7 linked regions of the Macaca fascicularis genome follow. The protein of the gene in region 3 interacts with the protein of the main gene of each other region in a biochemical or structural test. Links are inferred from orthologs where the notes say so. Each region holds a gene or a part of one and is shown on either strand. Other genes may lie near its edges. The genes, in order: SEPTIN4, MAP3K2, XIAP, PGAM5, CASP9, HTRA4 and TLE3.

The links.
Region 1: the proteins of XIAP (region 3) and SEPTIN4 form a complex in vitro, tested with the Homo sapiens proteins (4 studies listed by BioGRID, with this or other methods). The link is inferred for Macaca fascicularis from reciprocal best matches to the Homo sapiens genes XIAP and SEPTIN4.
Region 2: of the proteins of XIAP (region 3) and MAP3K2, one has a biochemical effect on the other in vitro, tested with the Homo sapiens proteins (2 studies listed by BioGRID, with this or other methods). The link is inferred for Macaca fascicularis from reciprocal best matches to the Homo sapiens genes XIAP and MAP3K2.
Region 4: the proteins of XIAP (region 3) and PGAM5 form a complex in vitro, tested with the Homo sapiens proteins (2 studies listed by BioGRID, with this or other methods). The link is inferred for Macaca fascicularis from reciprocal best matches to the Homo sapiens genes XIAP and PGAM5.
Region 5: the proteins of XIAP (region 3) and CASP9 form a complex in vitro, tested with the Homo sapiens proteins (12 studies listed by BioGRID and IntAct, with this or other methods). The link is inferred for Macaca fascicularis from reciprocal best matches to the Homo sapiens genes XIAP and CASP9.
Region 6: the proteins of XIAP (region 3) and HTRA4 form a complex in vitro, tested with the Homo sapiens proteins (2 studies listed by BioGRID and IntAct, with this or other methods). The link is inferred for Macaca fascicularis from reciprocal best matches to the Homo sapiens genes XIAP and HTRA4.
Region 7: of the proteins of XIAP (region 3) and TLE3, one has a biochemical effect on the other in vitro, tested with the Homo sapiens proteins (2 studies listed by BioGRID). The link is inferred for Macaca fascicularis from reciprocal best matches to the Homo sapiens genes XIAP and TLE3.

What each region holds. Positions count from the first base shown.
Region 1 is NC_088390.1:48,192,036-48,195,318, forward strand, and holds the end of SEPTIN4 (septin-4), read left to right. Parts: intron 1-941; coding exon 942-1,076; intron 1,077-1,189; coding exon 1,190-1,307; intron 1,308-1,396; coding exon 1,397-1,498; intron 1,499-1,691; coding exon 1,692-1,788; intron 1,789-1,881; coding exon 1,882-2,044; exon of another isoform or gene 2,045-2,199; coding exon 2,200-2,299; intron 2,300-2,553; coding exon 2,554-2,613; 3' UTR 2,614-2,783; downstream 2,784-3,283. UniProt on the Homo sapiens protein: Filament-forming cytoskeletal GTPase. Pro-apoptotic protein involved in LGR5-positive intestinal stem cell and Paneth cell expansion in the intestines, via its interaction with XIAP. May also play a role in the regulation of cell fate in the intestine.
Region 2 is NC_088386.1:4,230,352-4,233,851, forward strand, and holds part of MAP3K2 (mitogen-activated protein kinase kinase kinase 2), read left to right. Parts: intron 1-480; coding exon 481-610; intron 611-1,731; coding exon of another isoform or gene 1,732-1,778; exon of another isoform or gene 1,779-1,912; intron 1,913-3,500. UniProt on the Homo sapiens protein: Component of a protein kinase signal transduction cascade. Regulates the JNK and ERK5 pathways by phosphorylating and activating MAP2K5 and MAP2K7. Plays a role in caveolae kiss-and-run dynamics.
Region 3 is NC_088395.1:130,112,987-130,116,486, forward strand, and holds part of XIAP (E3 ubiquitin-protein ligase XIAP), read left to right. Parts: intron 1-2,900; 5' UTR 2,901-2,932; coding exon 2,933-3,500.
Region 4 is NC_088385.1:139,825,960-139,830,251, forward strand, and holds the start of PGAM5 (serine/threonine-protein phosphatase PGAM5, mitochondrial), read left to right. Parts: upstream 1-1,492; 5' UTR 1,493-1,527; coding exon 1,528-1,718; intron 1,719-4,292. UniProt on the Homo sapiens protein: Mitochondrial serine/threonine phosphatase that dephosphorylates various substrates and thus plays a role in different biological processes including cellular senescence or mitophagy. Modulates cellular senescence by regulating mitochondrial dynamics.
Region 5 is NC_088375.1:219,615,784-219,619,283, forward strand, and holds part of CASP9 (caspase-9), read left to right. Parts: intron 1-426; coding exon 427-574; intron 575-3,500. UniProt on the Homo sapiens protein: Involved in the activation cascade of caspases responsible for apoptosis execution. Binding of caspase-9 to Apaf-1 leads to activation of the protease which then cleaves and activates effector caspases caspase-3 (CASP3) or caspase-7 (CASP7).
Region 6 is NC_088382.1:42,378,548-42,382,664, reverse strand, and holds the start of HTRA4 (serine protease HTRA4), read right to left. Parts: upstream 2,801-4,117; 5' UTR 2,761-2,800; coding exon 2,295-2,760; intron 1,993-2,294; coding exon 1,893-1,992; intron 479-1,892; coding exon 274-478; intron 1-273. UniProt on the Homo sapiens protein: Serine protease.
Region 7 is NC_088381.1:46,846,964-46,849,857, reverse strand, and holds the end of TLE3 (transducin-like enhancer protein 3), read left to right. Parts: intron 1-15; coding exon 16-123; 3' UTR 124-2,394; downstream 2,395-2,894. UniProt on the Homo sapiens protein: Transcriptional corepressor that binds to a number of transcription factors. Inhibits the transcriptional activation mediated by CTNNB1 and TCF family members in Wnt signaling.

The sequences.
Region 1 (3,283 bases), on a different chromosome or scaffold from region 3:
CTAGTTTCTTCATGTATGAAATGATAGTGATGATGATCATAATGCATAATGTCGACCTGTCAGGGCAGTGAGGATTAAACAAGATAATAGAAGAACAAAGGATATGAAAATTGAGGTTCTTGGGGGAAATTTATTTATTTGTTTTGCTCTGTAGTGAAGACAAGGGGGGAGCAGTGTGTATTGGTATAGTAAAAGGAGCCTTCATGGAAGAGATGGTTCTTAGGGCCTTGAAGGATGGAGTGGGTTTGGAGGTAGAGGAAAGGGTAGAAACACATGAGCAAAGAGGTTCTGAGGTTACACTGGAAACCTGAATTAGAGTTTCCCTGGCTTCCAGTTGGTATTTGCCTGCAGCCACCTTGCTATTCTTTTTTTTTTTTTTTTTTTTTTGAGACAGTCTGGCTGCATCACCCAGGCTGGAGTGGTATGATCTTGGCTCACTGCAACCTCCACCTGCTGGGTTCAAGCAATTCTCCTGCCTCAGACTCCCGAGTAGCTGGGACTACAGGTGCACACCACCACGCCCAGCTAATTTTTGTATTTTTAGTGGAGACGGGGTTTCACCATGTTGTTCAGGGTGGTCTCAAACTCCTGATCTTAAGTGATCCACCCGCCTCAGCCTTCCAAAGTGCTGGGATTACAGAGGTGAGCCACCGTGTCCAGCCTATTCTTACTGCTTTGTTTGATCACCTGGGCCCTTTCCCTCTCATCAAGCTAGCATTTATTAAACTTGCCTGAGTACTCAGTCTAATTTTGTATCAGGACATGTGAGATACACCCCATCCCATTCAGGAATTTCCCTAAAGATTTAGTAAAGTAAGCCAGGGAATAACAATGTCTTAAAAACACTGCTCAGAGAGTGGGCTACTACTTCTCTGTAGTCCCAGAGCTCACTAGGTGGCTCCCACTCTCACAGTTTCTCTGCTTGTCTGTCCCTGCCCCAGCTGGAAGCCTGTGGCAGAATACATTGATCAGCAGTTTGAGCAGTATTTCCGAGATGAGAGTGGCCTGAACCGAAAGAACATCCAAGACAACAGGGTGCACTGCTGCCTGTACTTCATCTCACCCTTCGGCCACGGGTATGGTCCAAGCCTGAGGCTCCTGGCACCACCGGGTGCTGTCAAGGGAACAGGCCAAGAGCACCAGGGGCAGGGCTGCCATTAGCAGGTGGTCACAGATTCCTGTTCCCCAGGCTCCGGCCATTGGATGTTGAATTCATGAAGGCCCTGCATCAGCGGGTCAACATCGTGCCTATCCTGGCTAAGGCAGACACACTGACACCTCCAGAAGTGGACCGAAAGAAACGCAAAGTGAGGGAAGCTGGTGGTGGGAGGGGATCAGGTGGGCTTCTAGAAAGGACGTGGTCCCCAGAACTGTGGGCCCCTCATCTGTTTGTCAGATCCGGGAGGAGATTGAGCATTTTGGAATCAAGATCTATCAGTTCCCAGACTGTGACTCTGACGAGGATGAGGACTTCAAATTGCAGGACCAAGCCCTAAAGGTGGGGCCACTCTAGGGCATCCCCTTCCCATCTTGTTTCTTCTGGGTAGAAAAAGGGAGTAGAATTCTATATTCAGGCTATCAGGGTGGAAAGGACCCTGGCTTCCTAGAGTGAAGCAGAGAAGATGACGATACAGGTGGAAAGAAAGAGGTGAGAACAGAGGGTGCTGACAGGCACCCCTAACCTCTTCCAGGAAAGCATCCCATTTGCAGTAATTGGCAGCAACACTGTAGTAGAGGCCAGAGGGCGGCGAGTTCGGGGTCGACTCTACCCCTGGGGCATCGTGGAAGGTAAAGCACTGAGCCTGTAACCAGGGTATCTCCTTGCCCTCTGTGGCTCTCCCCTACCTATGCCTCTGGCTGACCCCTAGCCTTGCTATGCAGTGGAAAACCCAGGGCACTGCGACTTTGTGAAGCTGAGGACAATGCTGGTACGTACCCACATGCAGGACCTGAAGGATGTGACGCGGGAGACACATTATGAGAACTACCGGGCACAGTGCATCCAGAGCATGACCCGCCTGGTGGTAAAGGAACGCAATCGCAAGTATGACCAGAAGCCAGGACAAAGCTGGCAGGGGGAGATCCCAAGCCTAGCCTTGGGTGAGACCAAGCCCTACTTTTGTTCTTCTATAGGCCCTGGGCTTAATCTAAGTGGGTGCTGGAGTCCTCCTAGCCTTATCAACCCTTTTCTCCCCTTAGCAAACTGACTCGAGAGAGTGGTACCGACTTCCCCATCCCTGCTGTCCCACCAGGGACAGATCCAGAAACTGAGAAGCTTATCCGAGAGAAAGATGAGGAGGTGAGAGCAGTATGGGTAGGGGAGGTCCCCTGTTTGATCACCAACGTTGGTATCTCTTTGTTTGGTAATAGAAAGATCCCTGGCTCTGGTGCATATTTCGGTCCTAGATAGGTCAATAGGTGGTTCTGTCCAGAGTCTCTATCACACCTCACGGCTACCAAGGTTCTGGCTTAAGGGATTAGAAATTTGGGGCACTTCCCCAACACTAAAGGACTCTTCAGAAGGCCGCATTTTGATGCCTGTGCCTATTCCAGCTGCGGCGGATGCAGGAGATGCTACACAAAATACAAAAACAGATGAAGGAGACCTATTAACTGGCTTTCAGCCCTGGATATTTAAATCTCCTCCTGTTCTTCCTGTCCATGCCAGCCCCTCCCAGCACCAGCTCTGCTCAGGCCCCTTCAGCTACTGCCACTTCGCCTTACATCCCTGCTGACTGCCCAGAGACTCAGAGGAAATAAAGTTTAATAAATCTGTAGGTGGCTTCTGGTGTCCCTGTGTGTATTTTTATGACCTCCTGGAGATCAAGACCCTGGGACCCAGTTTTGAAAGGCTAATGGGAGAAGATGTTGGTTTCTGGCTTTTAGTAGGGAAGGGAGAGTGGGGAAACTTTCCACTTCGTTTCCCCTTCTAAGTCCCTGCTTAGAATCCAGGCTGGCTTCTCCATCTTAACGATCATATCTATCATGCCTCTATTATCTGGGGTCTGGGTCTCTCTCCATCTTTCACACATACAGTACCTTTGGTAACAGAAATATCCCTGGCTCTGGTGCATATTTGGGTCCTGGATAGGTCAACAGGTGGTTCTGTCCAGAGTCTCCATCACACCTTAGGGGCTACCAAAGTCCTGGCTTAACGGATTAGAAATTTGGGGCACTTCTCCTGGCTAACACAGTGAAACCCCATCTCTACTAAAAATACAGACGGGCGAGGTGGCGGGCGCCTGTAGTCCCAGCTACTCGGGAGGCTGAGGCAGGAGAATGG
Region 2 (3,500 bases), on a different chromosome or scaffold from region 3:
TGTCCCTCAGGAAGCATTTTATTTCTGTCTTTTAAAGGGATGATTACTCAAACTTGTACATTGGAATCACTAGGGAAGCTTTTTCAAAATTCAAATACCTATGCCTCACTTCAGACTGATTCAGCTTTCTCAGAGATGGCACCTTATCCTGCCCTAAAAAACACTTGAGAAAATCTGAAGTTCTCCTTTTGTGTATGTTCTCATGTTTCGAACTTGAGTGTTGAGTTTTTTCTTATATAAAGAAAAAACTTTAAAATGTCATATATGTTCTTTCTAGTTATACCCATTCCTTTTCCTGAGAAAATCAGCAGATGTCAATAAAATACTTTAAAAACAGAATAAGAACAAAATAAATAAAATTCAAGTAGGACATGCTTAGACAAGTGAGATGAGAATTCCTGGCCTCTTTACCAATAAAGATTTAATAGCAGTTTTCATTTCAAACCATATACAGTAGTTGTTGTTGTTGTTTTCTCCTAGGGTTCAATTAAGGACCAATTAAAAGCATATGGCGCTCTTACTGAGAATGTGACTAGGAAATACACCCGTCAGATTCTGGAGGGTGTCCATTATTTGCATAGTAATATGATTGTCCATAGAGATATCAAAGGTAAGTAATGAGGTATTTTCTATTTTAAATAGACAGTTCTTTGTGAATGTGAATGAAACAAGTGATGTGGATAAGACATTTAACATTAATTCATCTATCTCTGAAACAGGGAAACAGTTCTCTTGCTTTCTTGTGAACTGCATCAGTGTTTTATCACACCAGTCCTGTCTCCCCAAATGGGTAGCTCTACTGTGGGGGCTCACAGAATCAGTAAAGTTTAAGAGACCATACAAGTGAGATCATGTTTCATACATATTACATAGGCATTAGGACAGGCTGGCCAAGAGTAGGAGCCCTGCTGCCAGGTGGCCTGATTCAGATTCGGGCTTTATCCACACTGTGTGACCTTGGACAAGTTACTCAGTCTCTCAGTTCCTCTTTCTTAAATGATGGAGATAACAGTATCCAGCTCATAGGATTCTCTAAAGGAGTAAATGAGTTAATGCATGCAATATGCTTAAAGTAGTGCCTGATACCTAAAAAGCTCTTAAAAGTTAGCTATGATGACATACTTTATCTTGAGATCAAATTTGAGCTAGGAGGAATGGATGTCACTAGCTTGGGAAAGAAGGAAGGGGGGGAGAAAAGAACCCCAAACTGAGCTCTGATGAACTCCAACTATGTCAAACTGACATCTTGAATGTGCTTCAAATCCTAGAGAGGGGAGGAGGAGTGGTTGGCAGTATGGCTGGGGCAGGGTCATCCAGATGGATGTTGAGGCTGGGTGGTGGCTGAGCATGCTGCTCTACCTTTGTGTATGTCTGAAAAGTCTCCTTAATAACTTACTTTTGACACATCCAAAATAAGTTTTTAGAAACTTATGCTGGAGCCTGGCTACCCATTTTCTCTTTAGCCCTTCTTCTGGGTAAGCATTGGTTCAACATTGGTGATTCCTCCCCAGAGACAGCTTCCCCTGTCTGTGACCTGCCTTGGACTGTTCCTTCCCCAATCAGAGCCCTGCTTGTAGCCAGTAAAAAATGGGCTTTGTTGTCCTTCCACTGGTTAAGTATTCTAGAGATGGTGGCTTTTTTGACAGTCTTTCTTAAAGTATTGGATGGTAGGAAATGTTAGACAGTGCTTTTTTAGAAGATCACTAATGTCATGGCATGTTTACACTTAAGGTGTGCAGAGAATGAACTCTGGACTATCCTCTGGAGAGAGGCTTTAGGGAACCATCATTGACTAGACTGGGGAATTTGCTGGGAGAACAGAAAGACAGGTACGGAAGCCCCATGATAGGGGTGGGGTCTCTTTATCCTCTCCAGTCTGTAAAGTAGCTTTTCTCCACTATTCACTCTCCTCCTTAGAGATCATTTTTTCAGAAAAGGGTAAGAGAACCAAGAAAATGAATATCTTTGTAATATAAAATATGATTAAGGTTATGGAAGACTTAAAAATAAGAAATGAAGTAAAATTTTAAAATTAAAATAATTAAAATTAGATAATAAAATAAATGGCTTATTTAAGAATAGGTAAAGAAAAAGTTAAAAATGAGAAGGTCCAAAGTAATGAAGGTTATGTGGAGAAAAATGAGAAGCGAAATGATTTATAAAAGACAGAAACTAGATTTATAATCCCAGAAAAAATAGAGTTTTTAAAATGGTAAGAGTGAAAATAGAGAATAAAAAACAAATTAGCCTAGTGCCCATAGCTTGGTTTTTTGTTTTGTTTTGTTCTGGTTTTTTGTTTTTGTTTTTTTTGAGACAGAGTCTCACTTTATCACCCAGGCGGGAGTGCAGTGGCATGAACTCAGTTCACTGCAGCCTCAGCTCTCTGGGCTCAAGTGATCCTTCAGCCTCAGCCCCCAAGTAGCTGGGACTACAGGCTCACACTACCATGCCCAGCTGATTTTTTTGTATTTTTTGTAGAGATGGGGTTTCACCACGTTGCTTAGGCTGACCTCGAATTCCTGAGCTCATGCGATCCACCCGCCTTTGCCTCCCAAAGTGCTAGGATTACATGTGTGTGCCACTGCACCTGGCCGATGATCTTGTTTTTTAATACTATTCTCCACTGAAAGGAACTAGGCCTCCTTGAGAAATGGCTGATTTTAGGACTGGTGCAGGAAATATACAAGATGAGCCTGGAGCATCTTCCAGTGCCAGAAAGCAAGAAAGTGCTCAAAAACAAAAGCAAGAATACAATGATGGGGGTATGGCAAAGGGACACAGAGCCAGTGGAAAGAAGCTCCAGTGGCTGAAACTGATAAATAGCAGGAGAATAAAGCATTACTGGATTATAACCCAGTGTATAAAACAAATATCCATGTTCATAGTGATGTAAATGAATGATTTAATAAATATGTGGGAGAGGGGAGACAAATCTCTTCTGCAGCATAACTCCAAATTTATGTAGCTACTCAGCCTGGAGCATAACTCTTTACTCCTTAACTGTGGGCTGTGTGTGGCAAATTTCTTCCAAAGTATGGAAAGGGTGGGGGACAATGACTTCACAGTGGAGAACCTGACAAACACTATCTCAAGCCAGGTGATCAAGGTCAGCATCAACAATGGTGTTGACAGTATGTGCCTTTAATATCGTATGATGAGAATGGCAGTTTACCTGTGGTCTTCCCCCAAAAAACTTACAGCCCCCATTATGAGAACATGGGACAAATCCTAATTGAGGGACATTCTACTGGTCCCTCAATTAGGGAAAACCTGACCCCAGTACACCTCAGAAAAACACGTGTCATCAAAAACAAGGAAAATTTGAGAAAGTATCCCCCCTAAGAGGAGCCTGAGGGGACATGATGACTAAGTATGGCGTGGGATCCTGGTTAGGATCCTGGATCCAGAAAAAGGGTATTAGGGAAAAACTGAGGAAATCTAAGCAAAGTATGAACTTGGTTAATAATATTTCAGTATTGGTTTATTAATTGTGGCAAATG
Region 3 (3,500 bases):
TATAGGCATGAGCCATTGCACCCGGCCCTTTTTTTTTTCTTTCTTTCTTTTTTTGAGATGGAGCCTCACTCTGTTGCCCAGGATGGAGTGCAGTGACATGATCTTGGCTCACTGCAACCTCCGCTGCCCGGGTTCAAGGGATTCTTCTGTCTCAGCCTCCCGAGTAGCTGGGATTACAGGTACCTGCCACCACGCCTGGCTAATTTTTGTATTTTTAGTAGAGATAGGGGTTTCACCATGTTGGCCAGGCTGGTCTCAAACTCCTGACCTCAAGTTATCCGGCTGCCTTGGCCTCCCAAAGTGCTGAGATTATAGGCATGAGTCACCGCACCCGGCCTATGCACCAGATATTTTTAAAAAACCAGATGTAAGACTTTACACTTACCCCTATTAAATGTTATCTCATTAGCCTATCAGGTAGCTTTGGTTTTTTACTTTTATTTTATTTATTTATTTATTTTTTTGAGACAAGAGTTTCGCTCTTGTTGCCCAGGCTGGAATGCAATGGTGCGATCTCCGCTCACTGCAACCTCCGCCTCCTGGGTTCAAGTGATTCTCCTGCCTCAGCCTCCCAAGTAGCTGGGATTACAGGCATGTGCCACCACGCCTGGCTAATTTTGTGTTTTTTAGTAGAGACGGTTTCACCATGTTGGTCTAGCTGGTCTCGAACTCCTGACCTCAGGTGATTTGCCCACCTTGGCTTCCCAAAGTGCTGGGATTACAGGCGTGAGCCACTATGACCGACTGGTTTTTTTCTTAAGACTAGTCAAGTGCAGAGTGAGAAGAGGGAAAAGAGTAGAACAAGGGGTTTGATCAGCCTTGGTTTCTTTGAATCTTGATTTTTGTCATTCGGTTTATTATGCTGATTCAACAAAGGGCCCTGAAGCTAATGTTGGAATGTTTTCAGACATCTAGGAAATGATAATTCATCAAAAGTCATGGAGACTATTCCAAAAGTTTTATGCAGATATAACTCAGCTGTTGAGGTATGAGTTAATACCACTATAAGTTGACATGGCCAGGAAAGACAAGTCCATTGCCAACTTGCTTTGTGTTGAACATTACTCCAAAAGAGATTAAATTCTAAGACATATTGTGTCAACATAAAGGCAAAAGAGCTGGCTAATTCTTCTCAAGAAATCAATGGCTCGACCTTTTGGCTCATGCCTGTAATCCCAGCATTTTGGGAGGCCGAGGCAGGGGATCACCTGAGGTCGGGAGTTCAAGACCAACCTGACCAACCTGGAGAAACCCGGTCTCTGCTAAAAAATACAAAATTAGCTGGGCATGGTGGTGCATGTCTGTAATCCCAGCTACTTGAGAGGTTGAGGCAGGAGAATCGCTTGAACCCAGGAGGCAGAGGTTGCAGTGAGCCAAGATCACACTATTGCACTCCAGCCGGGGCAACAAGAGCAAAACTCCATCTCAAAAAAAAAAAAAAAAAATCAATTAATGCACATATAATATAGAGACAGAGTCCTTGTTACCATTATTTTGCCTTTGACAAGTTTATATTGAGCACATTATCAGGCAATGTGGGAGATTCTGGAGAACCAGGTTTGCCTCATAGCTAGGGTTACCATATGCTCTAGTTTGCCTGGGGCAACCCTGATTTATGCCTGTTGTCCCAGTGTGATTATTGCTAGTGTGATTTTTCACTTTGAGAAGTGTCCAGGTTTGGAAGATAAATTATCTTGCTATCCTTCTCATAACCTAATGGGTTCTCTTTAGTATTTTATCTGGGTTAAAATTACACAGCTGTAATTTGGCAGCTCTAATAAGACTGCAACAATACTTATCTTCCATTTGAACAGATTGTTACTTGACCAAGGGGAAGTTTTTTTTTTTTTTTTTTTTTTTTTTTTTTTTTTTTTTTTTTGAGGCGGAGTCTCGCTCTGCCGCCCAGGATGGAGTGCAGTGTTGCGATCTCGGCTCACTGCAAGCTCGGCCTCCTGGGTTCACGCCATTCTCCTGCCTCAGCCTCCCCAGCAGCTGGGACTACAGGCGCCCACAACCATGCCCGGCTAATTTTTTGTATTTTTAGGTGAGACGGGGTTTCACCCTGTTAGCCAGGATGGTCTCAATCTCCTGACCTCGTGATCCGCCCGCCTCGGCCTCCCAAAGTGCTGGGATTACAGGCATGAGCCACTGCGCCTGGCTACCAAGGGCAGTTAATAGCAAAAGTAACTGCAGGGCACATGTATGTCATGGGCAAAAAAAAAAAAAAAAAAAGCAATTAAGGTTTGCAGGTACTTAGAGTTTCTCCTGAGCCACTCTCTAGAGGGCAGTATTACATATATATCTGTAATTATCCAGTTACAACAAAAAAGGGGATCTGGTTCATGCATGAAAATCAGAAATATTTCATACTCTTAAAGAACACATTGGAACCAATATTATGATTAAAACATATTTTGCTAAGCAAAGAAATATTAAAATTAATTCATTAACATTCTGAACATTTTTTAATTTGTAAAAACTGAACTTTGATGCCTTGAATATATAATGATTCATTATAACAATTACGCACAGACTTTAATAATCTGCATATTTTATGCTTCTTTCATGTTTTTCCTAATTAATGATTTGACATGGTTAATAATTATAATATATTCTGCATCACAGTTTACATATTTATGTAAAATAAGCATTTAAAAATTATTAGTTTTATGCTGCCTGCTTAAATATTACTTTCCTCAAAAAGAGAAAACAAAAATGCTAGATTTTACTTTATGACTTGAATGATGTAATGTTAAACCCTAGTATTTAGAATTAGAATGTTTCTTAGCAGTTGTGTAGTTATTTTTATGTCATAAGTGATAATTTGTTAGCTCCTATAACAAAAGTCTATTGCTTGTGTTTCACATTTTGGATTTCCTAATATAATGTTCTCTTTTTAGAAAAGGTGGACAAGTCCTATTTTCAAGAGAAGATGACTTTTAACAGTTTTGAAGGATCTAAAACTTGTGTACCTGCAGACATCAATAAGGAAGAAGAATTTGTAGAAGAGTTTAATAGATTAAAAACTTTTGCAGATTTTCCAAGTAGTAGTCCTGTTTCAGCATCAACACTGGCACGAGCAGGGTTTCTTTATACTGGTGAAGGAGATACCGTGCGGTGCTTTAGTTGTCATGCAGCTGTAGATAGATGGCAATATGGAGACTCAGCAGTTGGAAGACACAGGAAAGTATCCCCAAATTGCAGATTTATCAATGGCTTTTATTTTGAAAATAGTGCCACGCAGTCTACAAATTCTGGTATCCAGAATGGTCAGTACAAAGTCGAAAACTATCTGGGAAGCAGAAATCATTTTGCCTTAGACAGGCCATCTGAGACACATGCAGACTATCTTTTGAGAACTGGGCAGGTTGTAGATATATCAGACACCATATACCCGAGGAACCCTGCCATGTATAGTGAAGAAGCTAGATTAAAGTCCTTTCAGAACTGGCCAGACTATGCTCACCTAACCCCAAGAGAGTTAGCAAGTGCTGGACTCT
Region 4 (4,292 bases), on a different chromosome or scaffold from region 3:
ATCATGCCTGGCTAATTTTTTTTTTTTTTTTTTTTTTTTTGAGACGGAGTCTCGCTCTGCCGCCCAGGCTGGAGTGCAGTGGCCGGATCTCAGCTCACTGCAAGCTCCGCCTCCCGGGTTCACGCCATTCTCCTGCCTCAGCCTCCCGAGTAGCTGGGACTACAGGCGCCCGCCACCGCGCCCGGCTAGTTTTTTGTATTTTTTTAGTAGACGGGGTTTCACCGTGTTAGCCAGGATGGTCTCGATCTCCCGACCTCGTGATCCGCCCGTCTCGGCCTCCCAAAGTGCTGGGATTACAGGCCTGGCTAATTTTTGTATTTAGTAGAGACGGGGTTTCACCATGTTGGCCAGGCTGGTTTCAAATTCCTGACCTCGGGTGATCCACCCGCCTCAGCTTCCCAAAGTGCTGGGATTACGAACATGAACCACTGAACCTGGCCAATTTTTTTGTTTTGTTTTTTTCAGAGTCTCACTCTGTCACCCAGACTGGAGTACAGAGGCACGATCCTGGCTCACTACAACCTCTCCCTCCCGGGTTCAAGCGATTATCCTACCTCAGGTTCCTGAGTAGCGGGGAATACAAGCGCGCACCACCATGCCAGGCTAATTTTTTTGTATTTTCAGTAGTGAGGGAGTTTCACCATGTTGGTCAGGCTGGTCTCGAACTCCTGACCTCAGGTGATCCGCCCACCTTGGCCTCCCAAAGTGCTGGGATTACAGGTGTGAGCCACTGCGCCGGGCCCAATTTTCCTTTTTTTATGTTATTAATTTTTTTTGAGACAGGGCAAGCGTCCAGCAATGGGTAAGCGGTGGGGTCGGTCCACACAGGCGTCCAGCAATGGGTAAGCGGTGGGGTCGGTCCACACAGGCGTCCAGCAATGGGTAAGCAGTGGGGTCGGTCCACACGGGGAGCGCCGGTCCCCCTGGAAGGAAACCCAGGCTCTAACGAGGTTCCTCTGAGGACCCTGCTAAGCGAAATGCGCCGGCCACAGAGGGACTATCCCGCAGGAGGCCGGGACCAGAAGTAACAGCCCGGCCGAACCTGAACGCACTTCACGCCGCTTGAACCGCACACGCAGGAACGGCGCCGGCGGAAAAATTTATTTCGGGTTCTGCCACCAAAAACATATCCTTTAAACAAACCTGCCGCGGTTTCCCAGCTCCCTTAAACCAGGGCCCCAAGTTCTCCTCCGAGTCTCCGCCCCGCACCCAGCCTCGAGCCTGGGCAGGGCTTCCGGTGCGGAACCTTCTGGAAAGCACCGCACCGCCCTCCCGGCGTCTCCACAGCTCCGCCCGCACCTGCGCGCACCGGCGTTCGCGAGCACCAGTGACGGGACGGAAGAGTGACGGGGCAGGCGGCTCCGCGAAAACACCCCTTCGCTGAAGGCTGCCCAGCGCCCCGCCGCGCCCCAGGAGGCGGGACTTCCGTCCCCGCTTCCCGGAAGCGGCCTCCCGCGGAAGCGTGTCCCTCGCGGAGCGCCGTCGGGGCTGTGGGCGCCTGCGCGGGCCGGCGCGGGAGCGGGCGGCATGGCGTTCCGGCAGGCGCTGCAGCTGGCGGCCTGCGGGCTGGCAGGGGGCTCGGCCGCCGTGCTCTTCTCGGCCGTGGCGGTAGGGAAGCCGCGCGCGGGCGGGGACACGGAGCCACGCCCGGCTGAGCCGCCGGCCTGGGCGGGGGGCGCGCGGCCGGGCCCCGGCGTCTGGGACCCCAACTGGGACAGGTGCGCGCGGGGCTGGTCGGGCCTGGGGTCGGGATGGGGGTCAGGGCCGGTGTTACCGTTGGGATCGGGATCGGGACCAGGTTCAAGGTTGCGATCGAGTCGGGATCTGGGGTCGCCGTCCGCTTCCCCCGGCGAAGGAACCGCCTTCCGGGGCCGCTCTGCGCTGAGGGTTCTGGGGGCGGCGGGCCCTTCCCGCCGGCTTCTGTGGGCCGAGCTCCGCCTCATCGTCGCCCTTCTCTCCGCCCCTGCGAGTCCGTCCTGGGTGCCGTCGCCGGAGCGCGGGCCGGGGCGAGGCTGGGGTGGAAGCCGGGCCTCCTCCAGGGGCGTTTGCAGGAGGGCGCCCGCCAGCCGCGTGCGGTTAATGAGCGTTTGAAATATGGCCCGTGTGATTCCTGAAGGGAATGCTTAGTTTACGTCAATTTAAACTTAAGCAGGCCGGGCGCAGTGGCTCACGCCTGTAATCCCAGCACTTTGGGAGGCCGAGACAGGCGGATCACGAGGTCAGGAGATGGAGACCATCCTGGCTAACACGGTGAAACCCCGTCTCTACTAAAATACAAAAAAATTAGCCGGGTGCGGTGGCGGCGCCTGTAGTCCCAGCTACTCGGGAGGCTGAGGCAGGAGAATGGCGTGAACCCGGGAGGTGGAGCTTGCAGTGAGCCGAGATCCCGCCACTGCACTCCAGTCTGGGCGACAGAGTGAGACTCCGTCTCAAAAAAACAAAAACAAACAAGCAAAAATAAATAAACTTAAGCAGGGCCGGGTGCAGTAGCTCACGCCTGTAATCCGGGCGTTTGGGAGGCCGAGGCCGGAGGATCGCTTGAGCCCAGGAAGTTGAAACCAGCCTGGGCAACATAGGAAGACCCCCATGTCTACAAAAATTACAAAATAAGTTAGCCGAGCGAGGTGGCGCGCGCATGTGGTCCCAGCTACTCGGGAGGCTGAGGCAGGAGGATCCCTTGAGTCCAGGGGTCCCAGGCTGCAGTGTGAGCCGAGATCCCGCCACTTCACTCTGGCCTAAGCAACAGAGCCTGTCTCAAAGGAAAAAAAAAAAAGTGCAGGTTTTTAACATTGGTTATGTGTTGAAATAGTATTTTTAGCATATTGAATTAAAAGTATGATCGAAATTCACCTGTTTCTTTTTAATGTTGCCGTTAGAAAATTTATAATTTTCACATGTTGCTGGCATTCTGTTTCTGTCGGCCAGGACTGCTCTCGAGGCAAGGATGGTTTGCCCAGTCCTAACTGCTCCTTATACTCAGTATTCTGAGAAAGGGGCACAGAATTATACTTACTACTGTGGTTGTGTTAAGTACTTTATATTACTTTTTTTTCTTTTGTTAACCTTATTTCCTCTATTATTAGCATCATACACTAAGCGTGGTATATATATCAAAATTAATGAGCCGTAACCCATACATTATTACTAAGGTTCATGTTTCACTGAGATTTTCTCAGCTTTTACCTGCTGTTCTGTTCTAGGATCCCACATGACAAGCAATCTTCATGCCTCCTCAGGCACGTTTTGGTGGTGATAATTTCTCAGACTTGTTTCGATGATCATCACTGTTTGACGCATCCTGGTCAGGGGTTTTATAGAAGGTTCCTCAGTTGAGATTTGTCTGAAGATTTTCTCATGATTAGATGGGAGTTACATTCTTTTTCTTTCTTTTCTTCTTTTTTGTTTGAGATGGATTTTCGCTCTTGTTGCCCAGGCTGGAATGCAATGGCGCAATCTTGGCTCACTGCAACCTCCGCCTCCTGAGTTCAAGCGATGCTCCTGCCTCAGCCTCCCGAGTAGCTGGGACTACAGGCGTGCACCACCACGCCATCTAATTTTATGTTTTTAGTAGAGACGGGGTTTCTCCATGTCGGTCAGGCTGGTCTTGAACTCCCGACCTCAGGTGATCCACCCACCTCGGCCTCTCAAAGTGCTGGGATTACAGGCATGAGCCACCATGCCCAGCCCATTAAATTCTTTTTTAAAAATCAGTAAAATATTCTGAATTTCTTAGGCCTTTTTAAGGAAAGAGATTAAGGTTAAAGAACTTGAAGTAGGTTGGGTGCAGTGGCTCACACCTGTAATCCCAGCACTTTTTGAGAGGCTGAGGCGGGCGGATCACTTGAGGTCAGGAGTTCGAGACCAGCCTGGCCAACATGGTGAAAGTCTGTGTTTACTAAAAATACAAAAAAATTAACCAGGCATGGTGGCACACACCTGTAGTCCCAGCTACTCAGGAGGCTGAGGCAGGAGAATCACTAGAACCCAGGAGGTGGAGGCTGCAGTGAGCCCAGATTGTGCCACTGCACTCCAGCCTGGGCGACAGAGGGAGACTCTGTCTCAAAAAAAAAAAACTTGAAGTAGAACCAGGAACTGAGCCCAGCCTTTCTCTTTTAAGCAGGTGTTCTGTATTTGCTTGCCATGTCTGGGGAGAAGTGAATTGGGCCTTGTGGGCTGGGAAAGACTCGTACAGACAGAAGGCATGAGCAACTACAGGAAGGTGCTAGAAGACAGCGTGTTTCCTCTTGAGTCTGGTGTCCACGCTGTAAAGTTCCAGAGCCTCATCTGGTGAA
Region 5 (3,500 bases), on a different chromosome or scaffold from region 3:
GTTTGAGCTGAATTGATTTAAAGCAGCCACTTTCAGCATTGAGCTGCCTCAGTCAGAGGGGCCTGGAGGACCAGACTGCTGATTAGGAGGTCTGGGTGGGGCCCGGGAATTGCATTTCTTACACGTTCCCAAGCCATATCGATGCTGCTGCTGCAGGGGCCAAACTTTGAGAACCACTGGTCTAGAGGCCACAGCCAGCACTCTCCAGGCACACTGTCTGGCCCCTAGAGGCACATGAGTTTGAGATGAGACCCCTGGAATAGATGCTGACTAGGGTCTTTCTAGAACCAACCTGCTCTGTCTCAATCAGCCTCATGCCCCTGGCTTTGACCTTCCAAATCCTTGGCCCCCACAAAACTTCTGAACAGGCTGTTGGATTCCTACTCCAACTTCTTGGTTTTGTAACCAGGGTTCTTGGTCTTCTAGGCCAGCCACCTGCAGTTCCCAGGGGCTGTCTACGGCACAGATGGATGCCCTGTGTCGGTCGAGAGGATTGTGAACATCTTCAATGGGACCAGCTGCCCCAGCCTGGGAGGGAAGCCCAAGCTCTTTTTCATCCAGGCCTGTGGTGGGGGTAAGCAGCTCCTTGGCCTCCCACTGGGTGGGTCTGATGAACAGGGAGCCACCACCTGCTTCTTTCTCCAGCCTGCCCCTCACAGAGCCCACGAGGTCTCTCCAGGCAGTCAGAGGGTACCACACGTGGTCCGTTTTTGGCAGCACCTCTGCCTGGCTGGAGCAGGCCCCGCTCTGTCGGCTCTGTAGAGGTTGGAGTCTTCAGTTTCGTGGCACAGTGGCATCATGGGCTCGTGTAACTTTGGCAGCTTCAATTCCAGAGACTTGGCAAAAAAGAAACTAAACAGAAGAGAGAGGAGAAACCTCTTTTTATTTTTCTTGTCACCATTCCCCTGACCTCCATCAACCAAACCCCGTTTCCACTATCCCAGAGAAAGGGTGGCCACAGCTAAACTGCACGGAGAAACCAAAGAATTTAATTATTGGAATTTTCAAAAGCGTAGTTGTGGGGGTTCGAGGAATGTTTAGGGATTACTTGAGCTGGGCACAGTGTCTCATGCCCAACAGTTTGGGAGGCCAAGGCAGGAAAATTGCTTGAGCCAGGAGTTCGAGACCCGCCTAGGCAACACAGCGAGACCCTGTCTCTATTTTTGTTTTGTTTTTTTAAAGAATTACTTGGATTATTTGTAGTTTTGCTATATGCTCTGATTTTAAACTTAACTCCTACTACAGTGTTACCTGATTTTCTTATAAAAAAGAGGGAAGAGAGGGAAACATGGGGATTCCTGGCTTGTGGGTCATGACAGGAATATCAGGGAGCACTAGAAATTCTGTCCCAGGGAGTCCCCTCTGCCCTAGACTCTCCACAGACTGGGACATTCAGAACGTATATCAGTTCCTTGCCTCCAGCCTGATCTGCCAGAGAAGCAGGCACTGTTACACCATAGTGCTGTCCAGCTTGTCCAGCTGTGACATGGGCACCTGTGGTGTATTTCTCCTGCGCACATCCAACTGCCCCATCCCTATTCCACGTTGGCAGAGTTGGGTGGAGGCTACCTAGGAGAGCAGCCTCTGGTCACATCATTCATCCAGTAGGTGTTTACTGAGCACCAGCTGTATATACCAGGCTGTGTGTTAGGTGCTGGGGATAGGGGAAAACAGAGTTTCAGTCTCCTGGAATTTATAATTTGACATGAACTGTATTAAATCACTGTCATAACCCATGCCCATAACTTGACCACAAGTGATTGAGAACACTTGATTAAACCCTGGATCGGCTACTGACCTGTCTATCACATAATCCTAGGCCAGTTCATCTCTAGACATCTCAGCAAATGGGGAAAATAACAGAACCCACTCCCAAGCTCAGGTGATCCTCCCACCTCAGCCTCCTGAGTAGCTGGGGCTACAGCTGCCCACTACCACACCCAGCTGATTTTTCTTTTTTTTTTTTTGTAGAGACAGGGTTTTGCCATGTTGCCCAGGCTGGTCTTGAACTCCTGGGTTCAAGTGATCTGCCCACTTCGGCCTCCCAGAGTGCTGGGATTATAGGCATGAGCCACTGTGCCCGGGCAACTTTAATAATATTTAATGCACTAATTGGTGTGTGTACAGTGACTGATTCATTTTAATAACTGAAAACCCAGACTGCTCCCCACTCCCACCCCGGAGTACCCAGTGACACATAAGAGCCCCCCACCCCACTGCCGCCAGCACAGTTGCCTCAGGACAGCAGTAATAGGAAGCAAGGAAGGCTGCCACTCTCGGGGCTATAGAAACCCTGCTCTGCCTCACCTCCTGTCTTGTCCATAGTGTGTGGTCCAGCAATGCTCTTCCTCTGGAGCCTGCGCTCCCGCTTTCTCGTATGAATCAAATGAAAGACAGAAAGGGCAAGGGAATTAGGAATGCAGGCTGAGCGGGCATACCTGCTTTCTGGACGGTTAGCTGTTCTTGTGCTCCTCCCATGCCCCATCCAGTCTCAGTCTCAACAGCGGAGGGCCTTTGTCACTTGAATATCTGCTGTCACTCTTAGGACTCAGTAGCAGGGCTTCCAAGGGCTTTGGTGACCTGGCCCCTGCCATTTCACCTCCCCCAGCCTGACATGCTCCAAGTCCCCCAGCATGGCCCAGCCTTCACAGGATGTCCAGGCTGTTGCTTGCTCTTCTACCTGATCCCCTGGCTAACTCTGTTTTTAAAATTCATTTTTACTTATTTTGTTTTAGAGATGGGGGTCTCACTATATTGCCCAGGCTAGTCTTGAACTATTGGGCTCAAGTGATACTCCCACCTCTGCCTCCCAAAGTGCTGGGATCACAGGCATGAGCCATCGTGCCTGGCACCTGGCTGACTCTTAATCATCCATCCTTCTGGTTACAATTTATTGTCACCACCTACAGAAGGTCTTCCCTAAACACCCCCTTTCTTGGCCAAAGTCAGGGTTAGCTGGCCTTTGTGCTCCTGCAGCCTCTGTCCCTCCCCTGCCATAGCACTGTCTCATTGTATTGAGCTAGGTCTGTCCCCTGGTCAGCTCCGAGTAGAGGGCAAGGCCTACCCCACAGCCAGGCCCCCAGCCTGGCACAGAGCCCACAGTCCCGTTGCACCTCATGTGAATTCTAATTTGAATTTAAAGGAGAACCATATAAAAGCATCTATGTGGTTCATGCCTGTAATCCCAACAGTTTGGGAGGCCGAGGTGGGAGTATCTCTTGAGACGAGGACTTTGAGACCAGTCTCTATAACAAATTTTGAAACATTAGCCAGGTGTGGTGGTGTGTGCCTATGGTCCCAGCTACTTGGGATGTTTAGGCAGGAAGATTGCTTGGGCCCTGGATGTCGAGGCTACAGTGAGCCATGTTTGCCTTATTGCACTCCGGCCTGGGTGACAGAGTGAGACCCTGTCTCTAAAAAAAAAAAAAAAAAAACCAAAAAAAACTATGAGCCAAATTTGGCATAATGTAGATTTCCATCATTAAAACAAAAGTCAGAAA
Region 6 (4,117 bases), on a different chromosome or scaffold from region 3:
CTGCACTCCAGCATGGGCGACAGAGGGAAACTGTTTCAAAAAGAAAGAAGAAAGAAAAGAAAAGAGAAGAAAAGAAAAGAGAAAAGAAAAGGTAAGGGATATATAGAAAGGCACTGAAGCAAATAAGAAGGAGTAAAGAACAGAAAGAAACCAGAGAAAAGCATATATTTGACAGAAAAGATGTGGTGTGAGAGTGTAGTGGGGCAGAAAATACCAGCAAATAGATAAAAATCTCCAAATATGCAGACTCTGACTCAGCCCTGAAATACTCACATTCGGTTCAATCTTAATCACCGCAAGATCCAATTTAAGGTCAATATCCTTGACAACGGCTTCATAACGGGCCCCATTCTGGAGCACCACCTCAATCCACTGCTGGTTCCTGACAACGTGGGCATTGGTAATAATGAGCCCATCCTCAGACACTATGAACCCAGAGCCACTGTACACAGGAACAGGCATCCTGCCGTGAAGTAACCTGTCTCCACAAGACAATAGTATAGACAGAGGGCAAGAAAGTTAGGGGATACAGCCATATCATCTGAGAGTCACGGGAACCTCACTCTTATTAAACATACCTCCATCACAGTTTTCTTTTCTTTATTTCTTTTTTCTTTTTTTGAGACAGAATCTCGTTCTGTTGCCCAGGCTGGAGTGCAGTGGTACAATCTCGGCTCACTGCAACCACCTCCCGGGTTCAAGCAATTTTCCTGCCTCAGCCTCCCGAGTAGCTGAGACTACAGGCATGCACCACCATGCCTGACTAATTTTTGTATTTTTCGTAGAGACAGGGTTTCACCATGTTGGCCAGGCTGGTCTCGAACGCCTGACCTCAGGTGATACACACGCCTCGGCCTTCCAAAGTGCTGGGATTACAGGCGTGAGCCACCATGCCCAGACTTCCATCACAGTTTTCTCAGACATTTCACTTTTCCCTGGCTATGCGTAAATTTTCTCCATGTATCAATGGACTTGGCACCCACAGGGCCCCAGCCATCTCTTGTGAGCATGGTTGAGAGCTGGCTCCAGCTCTCCTTTTCCAGGGACACTGCCTCTTCAGAGTTGGTTAGTGTAGCAGCCCATGGGTTCTCTGCTGCGAAAAGGCTGAACCCAATCCTAATACTAGAGGCAAAAGTAAGAGCCTCGTACCACAGTGTCAAGGACCCAGGCAGGAGAGAATCAAAGGGCTCTGATTCTGGCTTAGTTTCCACCACCAACTGGCCTCGTAACATAGGACAAATTAACCCTGCTCTCTGGGTCTGGATTTCCTTGCCTCCAAAGTGGGGGCTGAGCAAGATCACAACCAAAATGCCTACTAAGCTGGATGTGGTGGCTCACACCCGTAATCCCAGCACCTTGGGAGGCTAAGGTGGCAGATCGTTTGGGTCCAAGAGTTTGAGACCAGCCTGGGCAATACAAAAATACCTTGTCTCTCCAAAAAATACAAATATTAGCTGGGTGTGGTGGCACCTGCCTATAGTCCCAGTTACTCCAGAGGCTGAGGTGGGAGGATTACTTGAGCCTGGTAGATGGAGCTGCAGTGAGCCATGATCTGTCATTGCATTTCAGCCTTGGCGACAGAGCAAGACCTTGTCTCAAAAAAAGAAAAGAAAATGCCTACTAGCTCTTACATCTGACCTTAAATTTTGTCTGTGGCAGGACGGAGAAAAAGCACCAGCCACCTAAGTGGGCAGGGGGAGCTCGGATTTGGAAGTTATCCTTGTGCCTCTGCTCTTTGGTTAAATGACCTTGAACAGGTTATTCAACCTCTTTATGTCTCAGTTTCCTCACTGGTGTTTTAGGATTAAATGACGCTTGCGAAGGGTCTGGAGTAGGTAGGCACGCAGAAACCATTAGCTGGGACAGTGGAGGTCTTCCTCCTCCTCCTTTACCTGCCCCACAGCTGCATGTGAACCACCGATGGCGCCACCTTCTCCACCACCGCGGCGATGAAGTTGTAATTCCTCCTGAGCGGGCCTGCCCTTCTGCTCCCTATGAAGAAATACTGGGTCAAGAGTACGCCTCGAGCGAACCAGACCTGCTATCCTAGTTGGGAAAATGTTAAAGGCAAGTCAGTGTTCAAAAGGTGCATGGTGAGGGAGAATCCACGTAGCAGAAGGTAAAGAGCCCCTGTTATGGAGGAAAGGAAATCAGGAACAGAGAGGGGTCGAATCCAGGAGGCAAATGACGCAGGAGGACCCCGCGCGAACTATGCGATCTCAGTGAGGTCTTGTTCCTTTACGCTCCTCCAGAGTTAGAAAGTGTCCCCAGGGTGCGCGCCCCCCGCGGCTCACCTGTATCCCCGCAGTCCCCCCACTGCACAGGCACGGCCGAGATATTGCCCAGGCGGCGCGCGGCCCGGTTTTCGGTCCGGAGCGCACACAGGCTAGGGTAGGTGCGCCTGTCGCTGCCGCACACGGCCACTCCCTTCGTCGGGCAACCGCAGGTGCTGGGGAGCCCGGGGCGCAGCGGCTTGAGGCACTGCAGCCCCGGGGCGCACGGCTGTCCCTGCGCCCCGCCGCAGACTTGACCCTCGGCCGCGGGGCAGACGCGGCAACAGCGGCACAGGTCGAGCACCGGCGTGGTCCCCAGCGAGCAGGTGGGCAGCGCGGGGCAGCGCGTGGGCTGGCAGACCGCGGGGCAGGCCAGCTGGGTATGTAGTCTCTCAGCCCCGGCCCAGAGGACCGGCACCAGGAGCAACAGCAGCCCTGGCAGGAGGCATCGTCCCAGCCCCGCGGGCCGCAGCTGAGGTCTAATCATCCTGCTCCTTCCTTCCTCGCTTCCACTCTTCAGTGACTTCACTCTGGACCTGCAAACGCTCCTAAATGAGAGACACTTTCTCCCGGCCATGGCGCCGCCTCCGCCGGCCCCCAAACTTTAAGGGGCAGAGCCTGGCATACCTCTCCACATACACACCCGTACATCCCCTACCACCCGCCCCTGTCCGCTCCCCGGAGCCAGGTTCTCCCCCAGGCAATGAGGGGAAGGTCTCTAGCCCTACCCGGAGGAGGAACCTACCTCCTGAAATCCCTAAAACAGACAATGGGGGCAGACTGATCGCGGTACTTATATGACAGTGCAAGCGGAGCAATGCCGAGGTTGTGAGTTCGATCCTCACCTGGAGCACTTTTAATATTTATATAGGCGGGTAGTCGTGGCCGAGTGGTTAAGGCGATGGACTTGAAATCCATTGGGGTTTCCCCGCGCAGGTTCGAATCCTGCCGACTACAGTTTTGGCCGGGCGCGGTGGCTCACGCCTGTAATCCCAGCACTTTGGGAGGCCGAGGCGGGCGGATCACAAGGTCAGGAGATCGAGACCACGGTGAAACCCCGTCTCTACTAAAAATACAAAAAATGAGCCGGGCGCAGTGGCGGGCGCCTGTAGTCCCAGCTACTCGGGAGGCTGGGGCAGGAGAATGGCGTGAACCCAGGAGGCGGAGCTTGCAGTGAGCCAGGATCGTGCCACTGCACTCCAGCTTGGGCGACAGAGCAAGACTCTGTCTCAAAAAAAAAAAAAGAAAGCTCACCCACCCGTGGTCAGAAGGTACTAGAAAAACACATGGCCATATTTCAGTATTTCACATGGTTTTATTACAAAACAAGCCACAAAACAGTTTTAGAAAAGTTTTGCTACATACCAATTAGGAGATCACATAAAATGAGAAGCGTAACAGTTTCCATGCACTCAGCCTAGTGCTTACTGCCAGTGCATTTCACAGCTGAAACATCACTGCTTTAAAACACAGAATCATGCTACCCCTTCATAAGCAGAGGGGGAGGAGGTCAAACAGTATGTTTTTGCCAAACATTGCTTTATCTGAACTCTATCTAGTATAAAGGACTGGCTGCCGCAGGCAATAACACAGAGAGGGAAAAGGAACAAAGGAAGAAAACGATGCTGGCAGACAAGATTTAACAAACCTGTCCACTTCCAACATGTCTAAAGTTTATAAACAAAGCTCACTTGGGGACACTCAATTTCCAAAATGCTGTGACCTCCACATATGTTATCTGATTTACGCTGAAAACAAACCTACTAAATTCTACCCCTCAACTACTGAACCTGCTATTTATTCATGGGGTCCTTTTAGCCCATATAAGAGTATATTTATACTCA
Region 7 (2,894 bases), on a different chromosome or scaffold from region 3:
GTCTTCCTCCTCCAGTCTAAAGAATCCTCGTCTGTCTTGAGTTGTGACATTTCGGCGGATGACAAATACATTGTAACAGGCTCTGGTGACAAGAAGGCCACAGTTTATGAGGTCATCTACTAAACAAGAACTCCAGCAGGGCTGTCAAACTCTGGGAGAAACCGACTCGGCTCTGACAGGGAGACCCCCAGGCGAGGGGCCCTGAGGATGGCGGAGGATGGGCCGCAGGCAGCCGCGCGTTCGGGGCTGCGCTCCGGCCGGCTGAGAGGGCGCGTGCCCCATCACGATCTGGACTTCTGGGCCTAGATTGATGTGTCTCACAGACTCGGATGGGTTCTGCTCCTCCTCCTCCCCCTGAACAATGCTGGCAGTTGCTACAAATAGATTTATTGGAGGCTTATGGCTCCGGTTCCCCACAGACCCGCTCATGAGTCTCTTTGTTCTTCCCCTTTCTTTTGCCCTGTGCCCCACCTTGGGTCGGGGATGCTGGCGTGGACCACATTGTTGTGCTGGGGGAGGGGGTCTCTTTTTGCCGATTGTGCAGTGCACAAGTTTTGTGAAAAATGTAAATAACAGACTCTCCTATTGCGGACTGACCAGTGGGAGAGGCCCCCTTCCCACCGGAAACTCTGACCGTGTGTTTCGCCTGCTGTATTTGTAATCCACTCGTGGTGGTGGCTTTTTTTTTTTTTTTTTTTTAAATAAACAGATGTTCTCACCTGGGAAGAGGAGACAGGGAGAGGAACCAATTGAAGAATAAGGAGAAAAGTCTTAGATTGTGGAAAAGGCAACCAGGTTGGCCGCAAGGTACCTGCTGGAATGCCTGTCCGTCCACACGGGTCTGGGCATCTGGACTGAGCACCAGCCGGCCAGACTGAGGGATGGAAGGCACTGAGATGGGGGCCTGTTCGGGCAGACGCCTGCAGAAACAGAGCTTTCTGTGGTCTCTTGCACTCTGGCTGCCTCTTGCCCTCTCTGTGTCTCTCTTTCTTGGTCTTTCCCTCTCTCCTCCTCAGCCTGGTCTTTCTCTTTGGTGCACACTTAGTTATTGTTATGAGCAATGGAAGTTCAAAGGAACTCCCTCTCCAGCTCTTCTGAATCTTGGGACACAGCCTAAAAAGGACAAAAAGTTAGAAGACAGCATAGCAACTCAGCTCAGGGAGCTACCAGAGAAAAATAGCAACTGATGTGGGTGCTTTTTTTTTTTTTTTTTAATTTGAATAAAAAGAATTAGAAGTGATGTCCTTTTATAAAATGCCTTCTCCCCCTTCCTGCCTACAGCCTCTTCCTCTCCCCTTAGAGGGGGGAAAGTGTTTAAACCTACAGGGTTGTGAGTCTGAAAGGAGGATCTCCCTCACCTCCGCCCTGGGCAGGGCAGTGGGGGTTGGGGGCTGGGAGAGGGGGACACAGATCTGGCACACTGTGGATATTTCTTGCAGATTGCAGTCTCTCGTGGCCCAAACAGGTTAGGTAGACTATCGCCTCTGGCAGGTGCCACCTTTCGGTACCATGTTCTGAGGTGTTAGGATTTGGGTTGTTTTTTTGTTTCTTTTCCTTTTGGTCTTTTTTTCTTATTCTTCTTTTAAAGAAAAGCTAAAGGCCGCTGTGAGTCCTGGTGGCGGGCTCTCCATGGATGTAGCATATCGAAGATAATTTTTATACCGCATTTTTATGGATTATTTTGTAATGCGTGATTCCGTCTGCTGAGGAGGAGGGAGGGGCTCCAGGGAACGCCACCCACCTTCAGTGAGGTTGCTCCCCAGCTGAGCGCACCGGGCATGGGATGTGGAGGCTGGCGCCACACCCTGTGCCTCTCCAAGGCTGGGCGCATGGGGCATCCGGAGTCTCTCTGGGCCTCAGATGTCCGTCTGCCACCTCTTGCTAAGGCTCTAGCCAGAAGGGAGGGTGAGGGTAGAAGAAAGTTATTCCTGAAGAAAAAAAGAATGAAAAGTCATTGTACTGAACTGTTTTTATATTTTTAAAAGTTACTATTTAAAGGTTGGTTTGATTGTTGCGTCTTAATTGCCTCAACCCCCAGTTTGTCAGTCCCCCCCGCAGGAAAACAGCCAGGCCAGTGTCGCTCTCACATTCTGGAGCCTGGGCCATTTCCCGTCCATGTGAGCTCTTCTTATCTCACAGCATTCCCACGCGCTGCTCCCCCCGCCCCCCAGATACCCAACAGCGCAGCGGGGGTTTCACAATCCCACACTGCGTCACCTCCCATCCAAGCGCCAGAGAGGGTGTGGGGTAGGAGCTAAGACTTCCTCTGGACAGATGGACAGGGCAGAGTTCACTGAGGGGAAGGAAGACCACAGGTTAACACCAAAGTATTGTACAGCTGTCAATGCAAAACTTTTTTGGAAAAAAATTAAATGTAATGAACTTGAAGCGAAACTGCAAAGTGTCTTTGAGCATCTGGACCCTGGAAACCTGCACCATTTTATTTTAAACTTAACATGTTTAGGTGGGACAAGGAGATCTTCCATCTCTAGTTCACAAAGGCGTGTTTTTGGATGATTCAGAAGGAAGCATTTGCAGAAGGGGCAGACCCAGAAATGCAGGTCATTGTCCCCAGGGAGGGAGTTGGGGGCTGGGAGGGAAGAGGAGAATGCTGGTGCCCATTCCCAGGGGCGGTACCCAGGCGCTTGGATTTCGTGCACCCATTAGCGAAAGCGCTCAGGGCACTGGAGATTAACATGATTTCCAACTCCTTATTTTGTCAAAGTCATTCTCAATCAGCACAATTGCCTGCTGTCATTTCATACAAGAAAGGGAATCTAACATTAAAAAAAAAGAGGAATGACAATCTCAGCATACAGCCCAGTCTTTATGACTAGAAAGGACAGCTGGCCTCTCTCCACACAGAGGGGTCATTTAGCTCGAGAGGGAGGTCC